Ovis aries: one gene and its partner. The protein of the gene in region 2 purifies or fractionates together with the protein of the main gene of each other region. This does not show direct contact. Links are inferred from orthologs where the notes say so. Each region holds a gene or a part of one and is shown on either strand. Other genes may lie near its edges.

The links. Proteins that work in one complex are often made in the same cells at the same time.
Region 1: the proteins of TGOLN2 (region 2) and GALNT2 purify together in Homo sapiens (affinity purification with mass spectrometry; 3 studies listed by BioGRID and IntAct, counting the BioPlex papers as one, with this or other methods). This does not show direct contact. The link is inferred for Ovis aries from reciprocal best matches to the Homo sapiens genes TGOLN2 and GALNT2.

The regions. Positions count from the first base shown.
Region 1 is NC_056078.1:1,811,660-1,815,773, forward strand, and holds part of GALNT2 (polypeptide N-acetylgalactosaminyltransferase 2), read left to right. Parts: intron 1-3,127; coding exon 3,128-3,220; intron 3,221-3,660; coding exon 3,661-3,744; intron 3,745-4,114. UniProt on the Homo sapiens protein: Catalyzes the initial reaction in O-linked oligosaccharide biosynthesis, the transfer of an N-acetyl-D-galactosamine residue to a serine or threonine residue on the protein receptor.
Region 2 is NC_056056.1:57,188,402-57,193,111, reverse strand, and holds the start of TGOLN2 (trans-Golgi network integral membrane protein 2), read right to left. Parts: upstream 3,005-4,710; 5' UTR 2,975-3,004; coding exon 2,929-2,974; intron 2,686-2,928; coding exon 1,814-2,685; intron 1-1,813. UniProt on the Homo sapiens protein: May be involved in regulating membrane traffic to and from trans-Golgi network.

The DNA of each region.
Region 1 (4,114 bases), on a different chromosome or scaffold from region 2:
TGGTCTGGTATGCCCATCTCTTTCAGAATTTTCCACTATTTATTGTGATCCACACATTTAAAGGCTTTGGCATAGTCAATAAAGCAGAAATAGATGTTTTTTTGGAACTCTCTTGCTTTTTTGATGATCCAGTGGATGTTGGCAATTTGATCTTTGGTTCCTCTGCCTTTTCTAAAACCAGCTTAAACATCTGGAAGTTCACGGTTCAAGTATTGCTGAAGCCTGACTTGGAGAATTTTGAGCATTACTTTACTAGCATGGGAGATGAGTGCAATTGTACGGTAGTTTGAGCATTCTTTGGCATTGCCTTTCTTTGGGATTGGAATGAAAACTGACCTTTTCCAGTCCTGTGGCCATGACTGAGTTTTCCAAATTTGCTGACATATTGAATGCAGCACTTTCACAGCATCATCTTTTAGGATTTCAAATAGGTCAACTGGAATTCCATCAGCTCCACTAGCTTTGTTCATAGTGATGCTTCCTAAGGCCCACTTCACTTCACATTCCAGGATGTCTGGCTCTAGGTGAGTGATCACACCATCATGATTCACTGGGTTGTGAAGATCTTTTTTGTACAGTTCTGTGTATTCTTGCCAAACAGGAGATGGCAAGAGTGAACATCAACATTCTAGGAATGGACTGGAATGTGTGAATTTAACTCAGATGACCCTTATATCTACTACTGTGGGCAAGAATCCCTTAGAAGAAATGGAATAGCTATCATAGGCAACAAAGAGTCTGAAATGCAGTATTTGGATGCAATCTCAAAAACGACAGAATGATCTACGTTCGTTTCCAGGGCAAACCATTCAATATCACGATAATCCAAGTCTATGTCCCGACCAGTGATGCTGAAGGAGCTGAAGTTGACAGTTCTGTGAAGACCTATAAGACCTTCTAGAACTAACACTGGAAAAAGATGTCCTTTTCATTATAGGGGACTGGAATGCAAAAGTAGGAAGTCAAGAAACACCTGGAGTAACAGGTAAATTTGGCCTTGGAATGCAGAATGAAGCAGGGCAAAGACTAATAAAGTTTTGCCAAGAGAACTCACTGGTCATAACAAACAGCCTCTTCCAACAACACAAGAGAAGACTCTACACACATGGACATCACCAGACGGTCAACACCGAAATCAGATTGATTCTATTCTTTGCGGCCAAAGATGGAGAAGCTCTCTACAGTCAGCAAAAACAAGACCAGCAGCTGACTGTGACTCAGATCATGAACTCCTTATTGCCAAATTCAGACTTAAATTGAAGAAAGTAGGGAAAACCACTAGACCATTCAGGTATGACCTAAATCAAATCCCTTATGATTATACAGTGGAAGTGACAAATAGATGTAAGGGACTGCATCTGATACACAGAGTGCCTGATAAACTATGGACAGAGGTTCGTGACATGGTACAGGAGACAGGGATCAAGAACATCCCCAAGAAAAAGAAATGCAAAAAAGCAAAATGGCTGCCTGAGGAGGTCTTACAAATAGCTGTGAAAAGAAGAAAAGCAAAAGCAAAGGAGAAAAGGAAAGATATACCCATTTGAATGCAGAGTTCCAAAGAATAGCAAGGAGAGAGAAGAAAGCCTTCCTCCGCAATCAATGCGAAGAAATAGAGGAAAACAATAGAATGGGAAAGACTAGAGAGATCTCTTCAAGACAATTAGAGATACCAAGGGAACTTTTCATGCAAAGATGGGCTCAATAAAGGACAGAAATGGTATGGATCTGATAGAAGAGGTGCCAAGAAGGATATAGGCCCCAAACAAATTATTTTATTAATTGTAACTCAGATGATTTGAAGGCTCCCCACTTATAGCTCAGTTGGTAAAGAATCCATCTGCAGTACAGGAGACCCCAGTTCGATTCCTGGGTCTGGAAGATCCCCTGGAGAAGGGATAGGCTACCCACTCCAGTATTCATGGCCTTCCCTTGTGGCTCAACTGGTAAAGAATCTGCCTGTAATGTGGAGACCTGAGTTTGATCCCTGGGTTGGGAAGATCCCCTGGAGAACGGAAAGGCTACCCACTCCAGTATTCTTGCCTGGAGAATTCCATGGACTGTGTAGTCCATGGGGTCCGTAAGAGTCAGACATGACTGAGCAACTTTCCCTTTCTTTCACTTTCCATTTTAAAAAGACCTTTCTAATAGGGGAACAATACGTATTCTTGTAGAATATGAATATTGTCTCCCTAATGTGTTTATCTTAGAAGCATGGAATGCCTTTATATGGGTTCTGAAAGAGAACGGTCTCTCAGCCCAAAATGTGAGTGTGCTTTGGAGCAGAGTCCAGGGATACTGGAGAAGAGACGCTCACTGCCTTAGTGCTACTCCGCAGATGCTCTAAGGAGAACGCTGGCAGAAGATGCTGGTGCCGGGCATGTGGCGGCCTTTAGTACATATCTTACATTCCAAGGTAGCTTGTCCCACTGGCCTTATTGATCATAGGTTGTTTCTCTCCGTGATTGTGAGATGTCAGTGTGGGGTCTTCTGGCCTTCTAGAGAAGCCTGTTCTGCACAGGAGAGTAGGAACCCCAAATGTGGGGCGTATACTACTGTCCCTCACTATTTCTGGTCCAAACAGGGTGCTCTCAGCTCAGCTCTGCCCGAAGTAATTTAATAGTAACTGTGATTTGCTCTCAACTTTCCCAGAGCTGTTTGGTCATAGCTCTCCATCACAGGCATGATGAGAAGGCCAGAGAGAGGAGGTCAAGGATTCTTGCTTTTGCTCCTGGACACCAGCCTTCTGGGCTACACAACAAGAGTTACTAAGAGCTACTGAGAGAGATCCTCTTCAGCCCTTCTTGGTGGTACAGCCACGTCCCTGTTTTAAAATACCTCCCTGTGCAGTCATTCTAACTTTGACTTTTGCTCTTTGACAATCTGTGTTCAAAGAGAGATGAGGAGGTTGTATTTGTTATTCAGTGATACCTGCTGAATACCAGCCACCCGGAGGCACCTAGGGGTGGGGGACAGCCTGCTCCCTGATCCATGTGGGCCCCTATCAGGCCGCCAGCCCCCCAGAAGCCTGACCCTGAAGCCTCCGCAGCACTTGCTCAGTGCAGGCCAAGCAGCGCCGATGGAAAGAAGGCAGCTCACGGCTCAAGGAGACTTGTTTCGTTTCTAGTAACACCCGCCGGGCAGCAGAGGTCTGGATGGACGAATACAAGAACTTCTACTACGCAGCAGTGCCTTCTGCCAGAAACGTCCCTTACGGAAAGTGAGTGTGGCCCATGGCCTCTCGCTGTTTTGCTTCTTGGGATCGTGTGTGTGTCTGTGTGCGTGTGTGTGCGTGTGTGTGTGTGCGTGCGTGCGTGTGTGTGTGTGCGTGTGCGCGCGCGTGTGTGCGTGCGTGTGTGCGTGCGTGCGTGCGTGCGTGTGTGTGCGCGCGTGTGTGTGTGCGTGTGTGCCTGCGTGTGTGTGCCTGCGTGCGTGCGTGCGTGCCGTAAGCCGATCAGGTGTCAAAGAGGGGACTCTGCTCAAGGGTCGCGAGGGCCCTCTCGGGAAGCACGGCGGGACAGAGGAGTCCAAACAGCAGTGTGGATGGTCCAGTCCCCACTGCCTGCCCCAGCTCTTTTTCTCATCGGCAGATTTCCAGGTTTGATGTAGAGCCCATCTGTTTTTTAAATTTATCTTAAAGAATCTTGTCTCCTTCTCCAGTATTCAGAGCCGACTGGAGCTCAGGAAGAAACTTAACTGCAAGCCTTTCAAATGGTACCTGGAAAATGTCTACCCAGAGCTAAGGTGAGGCCCTGGGGCCGGGTTCCGCTTCAGAAGGACTCGGAGGCAGCCAGCGCCCACCGGGTGCAGGGCCTGGAGGTGGAAGGAAGGTCGTGTTAGGGGGAGAGGCCAGGAGCTGTGCCCCGCCGCTGTCCTCAGGCTCCCCAAGGGGGTGCCCTTGTCCCCAGCCCGCAGGCTCCCCCTGCCTGGGACTCCCCCTTGAGGCTCCTTTGCCCCCTGCAGTTGTGTAGGGACTGAGACCAAGGCTTGGCCAGCAGGGGAGAGCGCCCAGCAGAGGCTCAGATAACCACACTGGCCTGTTTTAATGCCTGCCCACTCGCATCCTGAGGCACAGCAGGAGGCCTATGGGTCTGTGGGCTTCAGGCTGCTCTGG
Region 2 (4,710 bases):
GAACCCTTTATCCTAAACAGGAAATGACAGGTGCAGGACAGCTGTTCTAGGCTCTAGCCAGCTGAAGTCTGTGTGATTTACTCAAGAGAACTCAGCCTATTTAAAAGCAGAAACATCACTCAGCTGACAAAGATCTGTATAGTCAAAGCTATGGTTTTCCAGTAGTCATGTATGGATGTGAGAGTTGGACCATAAAGGCAGCTGAGTGCTGAAGAATCAATGCTTTTGAACTGTGGTGCTGGAGAAGACTCTTGAGAGTCCTTTGGACTCCAAGAGTGAGCCAGTCAATCCTAAGGAAAATCAACCCTGAATATTCACAGGAAGGACTGGCGCTGAAGCTGAAGCTCCAATACTTTGGCCACCTGATGCAAAAAGCCAACTCACTGGAAAAGACCTTGATGCTGGGAAAGATTGAGGGCAGGAGGAGAAGGGGGTGACAGAGGATGAAATGGCTGGATGGGATCATCAACTCAATGGACATGAGTTTGAGCAAACTCTAAGAGATTGTGAAGGATAGGGAAGCCTGACATGCTGCAGTCCTTGGGGTACAAAGAATCAGACGGGACTTGGTGACTGAACAACAACACAGTGAAAAGAACTGCCAACTCCTCCCCAGCTGAGACTCCTCCAGGCTAAGCAAGTCCCCCTCCTTTTATCTTAGTATTAAGCAATAATTACTTCTAATCTGCAAATGTACTCTTTCACCCCACACTTTATTTCATCTGAACCTGACCACTCTCATTTCATACTTAAGGTTACTCTCCATGATAAGCACTTGGATGTAGAATAAGGAATGTACCTTAAAAAAATTTTTTTTCAAGGCCACATTCATGTGGCATTGGGGATCTTAGAACCTCAATCAGAGATCAAACCTGTGGCCCCTGCAGTGAAAGCATGGAGTCTTAACCCCATAACTGTCAGGGAATTCCCAGGAATGTACCACTTTTACTAAATGTCTTCTCTCATTTCTCACAGCCCTAGGCCTTTTGACTATCATGAATTGAACCCTTCAATTTTAGTCAGACTATTACAAACTACTAAATTCTTAGGGCTCATAAGAAATGCAATCATTTGGGGAAGAATCTGAAAATGAATATATATATAAAAAACGGAATCACTGTGCTGTACACCTAACACAACATTGTAAATCAACTACACATCATGTTTTTTTATATTTCAGTTAAAAACAAAAAAAGAAATGCAATTATTTTGTCGTTGGGGAGTGGTTACTAAGCAACACAACAAACCCTGCTGAAGTAAAAGATGAGTGTATTCATGCAATTTCTGGCCTTTCTTCTAATCAGAAACTCAGCTGCAGAACATAGACCCCTGGGCGCTCTGCTGCTGGTCTTGAAGACTCTGTAACCATTCTTTCTGTTCCTGCAGATGGAAGACAAATGCTTGGGAGAGGAAGCTAGAAATTAGAAGACAGGAAGATCACTGCTTTAACTACATACAAACTGTCAGGTCCTCAGGTCCTCTCTCAGGATGTGAAAGATTCTAAGTTCCAAGATTATGGGAGGAGACCTTCATTTGGGTCAAATCATAATAATGTCCTAAGCTTCACACTTGACGCAACAGCAGAGGGCAGAGGAAACAGATGTGAAAACAAATGATTTCTAAGACAAAGGGAGGAAAAAAAAGAACCTAGAAAACCCAATAGAGAATCCTGGCAGGATCTCAGGAAAAAAAACAGGAAGTTTGTTTCTTAAATTCCCAGGGCTTACAGGCTGATGAGTGATGGATACTCACACATCAGGCTTTCTGAGAGGAGGAAATCCCACTCCTCCTCTTAAGGCCATTCTTGCCTTACCTTCCGCTTATTGTGGTAGGCGATATAGAGGGCAGCGACGAGAATGGCTGCTGTCACCAGATATGCAAAAAAGTGGCTGCTCTCTGCATTGGCATTTCCAAGGTTATCCTTATAAAGGTCATCCTTCTTACTCCAGGTATTCGAAAGTGTCCCTTCACGGTTCTCTCTGGAGGCAGGGCCAACCATTTCTTTCCCTTCTTTGGGTGGTGCGTCTTCCTCTGGCTCTGCATCCCCTTCTTCAGTCTCCTTGGGCTCCACATCTTCAGTTAATTCTAAAGGCTTACCTCCTCCCTCCCGCTGGGGAGAAGAGGGGTCTGCCAACACTTTCCCCCCAGGTTCAGTTCTGGAAGTCTGCAGAGCTTTGCCAGCGACTGTGTTTACATGAACCTTGGTGGACTCCTTGTTATCAGAAGAGGGGCTGGAGACCAACTTGTTGGACTGGTCTCTGGGGGAACTGCCAGGGTCGGCTTTCTCGGGGCGCTGCTCGGCTCCTGAATTATCGGAGTGGGTTTCCGCGGGGCGGTGCTCGGCTCCCGAATTGTCAGGGCCGCTTTCCGTCGGGCGCTGCTGCTCGGTTCCCGAATTATCGGAGTGGGTTTCCGCGGGGCGGTGCTCGGCTCCCGAACTGTCAGGGCCGCTTTCCGTCGGGCGCTGCTCAGTTCCCGAATGGTCAGGGTCGGTTTTCGCGGGGCGCTGCGTGGCTCCCGAATTGCCAGGGTCGGTTTTCGCGTCGGTCTGATTTAGAAAGGTTTGGTTACTGTGTTCTAGCCTAGACTGAGCGATCAAGACCTGCTGCCTGGAGCTTCCTGCAGAAGCCTGATCTTCCTTCTGAGCGGTTGTTCCGGCGCCTGGAGCAGAATTGAGCTGCGAGTCTGAAACAGAGAAACTATCTGGCTGAAGAGAGGCAGTCGGGGAGAAAGAACTCCTCAGAACGTTGCAACGGGCAAAAGGGAGGGGAGTGCTGGCGAGCGGAGCGGTGGCGAGGTTCGGGCAAGGAAGAGTGAGGTCAGGGGCTGACAGGCCACGGTGAAGACGACGGGCCCCGGGGCGACAGTGGGATTACCGGGGGCTGGTCTTGGGACTGCGGTGGGGTGGGGGCGGGGGGGAATTCTTACCCGCTGCCGCGACGCTCAGTAACACGAACGCAACCAGGAACCGCATCCTGCACCGACTGTGCTTCCGCCCCCTAATGCTCTCGCGAGATCAGCACGCGGGCTTAGTGTTATGTCCCGCCCCTTCCTGTGTGCGTCGCCGCAGCCACACCCAGGCAAGGGGCAGGGATTGGAAGAAGCCCGGCAAGCTGGTGTTCAGTTGTTTCCCCCGAGGTGTGACTGCTTTTGCTGGTGGCGGGGCTGTATTGCGTGTAGAAGGCGTATTTGTCTTTTCCTGCTTTCGTAGCTCCGCAGCGGCCGCTACAAACTTAGTCCCCCTTTCCTTCTTTGCTGTCATATTTACGAGACAATACTGGCGAAGCAGGCGCTCCCTGGCCCACGGACGTAACCACGGGAGTGAAGTCGTTGGGGCCTGGTGCTTGCTCGCTCCTATCCTCTGCCTGCCTTTCTGCCTTCTCCCTCCCTCATGGTTCTTTCCCTGCAGCGCACAGACGTGTGGAAATCTGGAAACAGACACCCACCCTGTCACCTTTGTAGCGGGAGCCTTCGCAACCCTGCTCGCTCTTTTGACCCCCGACGGAAACGGTGTCAAAGATCTTTTCTAAAAAGTTCATCTGTTTTCTGATCGTGTAAATTACTCATTCACGCTAGAAAATTCACTGAATGTGTACAAGTAGAAAACAGAATCTCTGCCTCACGCTTCCAGAGTAGTGACTATCAACGTTTTAGTGTATTTTTGTCTTGCAAACGATATATTTGATTAGGTAATATAATCTAACGGTTAAAAAAATGGGATTTATTTTTCGAAAAGTTCACATTAGAAAGTTACTGAAGCAATTATCTTTAAATGAAAAACCTCAAAAAGTTCTTGTGGGATTTCTCTTGTGGTTCAGTGGTTAAGAATCCACCTGCGAATGAAGAGGACATGAGTCATCCTTGGTCCCATGGGGCAACTAAGCCGGTGGGCCGCAACTACTGAAGCCAGTGACCTAGAGCCAGCGCAACAAGAGAAGTTGTGACAATGAGAAGCCCCTGTTCTCTGCAGCAAGAGGAAGCCTGAGCAGCGAATAATAGATAATAGAATGTTTTTGCTCTCTAGCCCTCCTCCACAAGTTCCTATTCAGTGATTTTTTAAAACAAATACAATTAGGATAAATATAAATATACTCCCGCCCCCTGTTTCTTAAGTAGTGTGTTTTCACCGTCTTTTATTCTATAATCATTTTCTCCCAAATTGCAATTATTGGATATATCGTTTTGTATCATGCTGTTTAAGATTTCTGTTGTGTTCATACAGGCTATGGGAAGAAAATAGTGTGTTTAGGAGTTAAACATTTAGGAGGCTGTTGCAGTAGTCCTAGAAGGACTAGCATAGGTATGGTGAGAATAGAGGGAAGTGGTTGGGCTCAATATAAATTTGGGAGGAAATACCAACAGGCCTTGGAGATAGATTGGCTATGGGAGGGAGGTGTGATGTGAGGAAGATGTGGAAAACCAGATTTAATACGATTGGGGCACTAAAAGTGAATTTATTCTTGCCTGTGAGACAGTCAAGTAGAAATAACAGAGAGGTAGCTGGAAACATGAGCATCAAACGAGTTCAAGGGCACGCTCCCCTAATTAAATATTGTCAAACATGACTGTTAATGGTTTCATAAAAATTTATATTTATCATTGATTTTGTGACAGTTTCTTTATTATTGGAGTTCTGAATTATTTTCAGTTTTCTATTCTTAGTGATTATTACTTATAATCAGGTACTGATTAGGTGCCTGAGACAGAAGC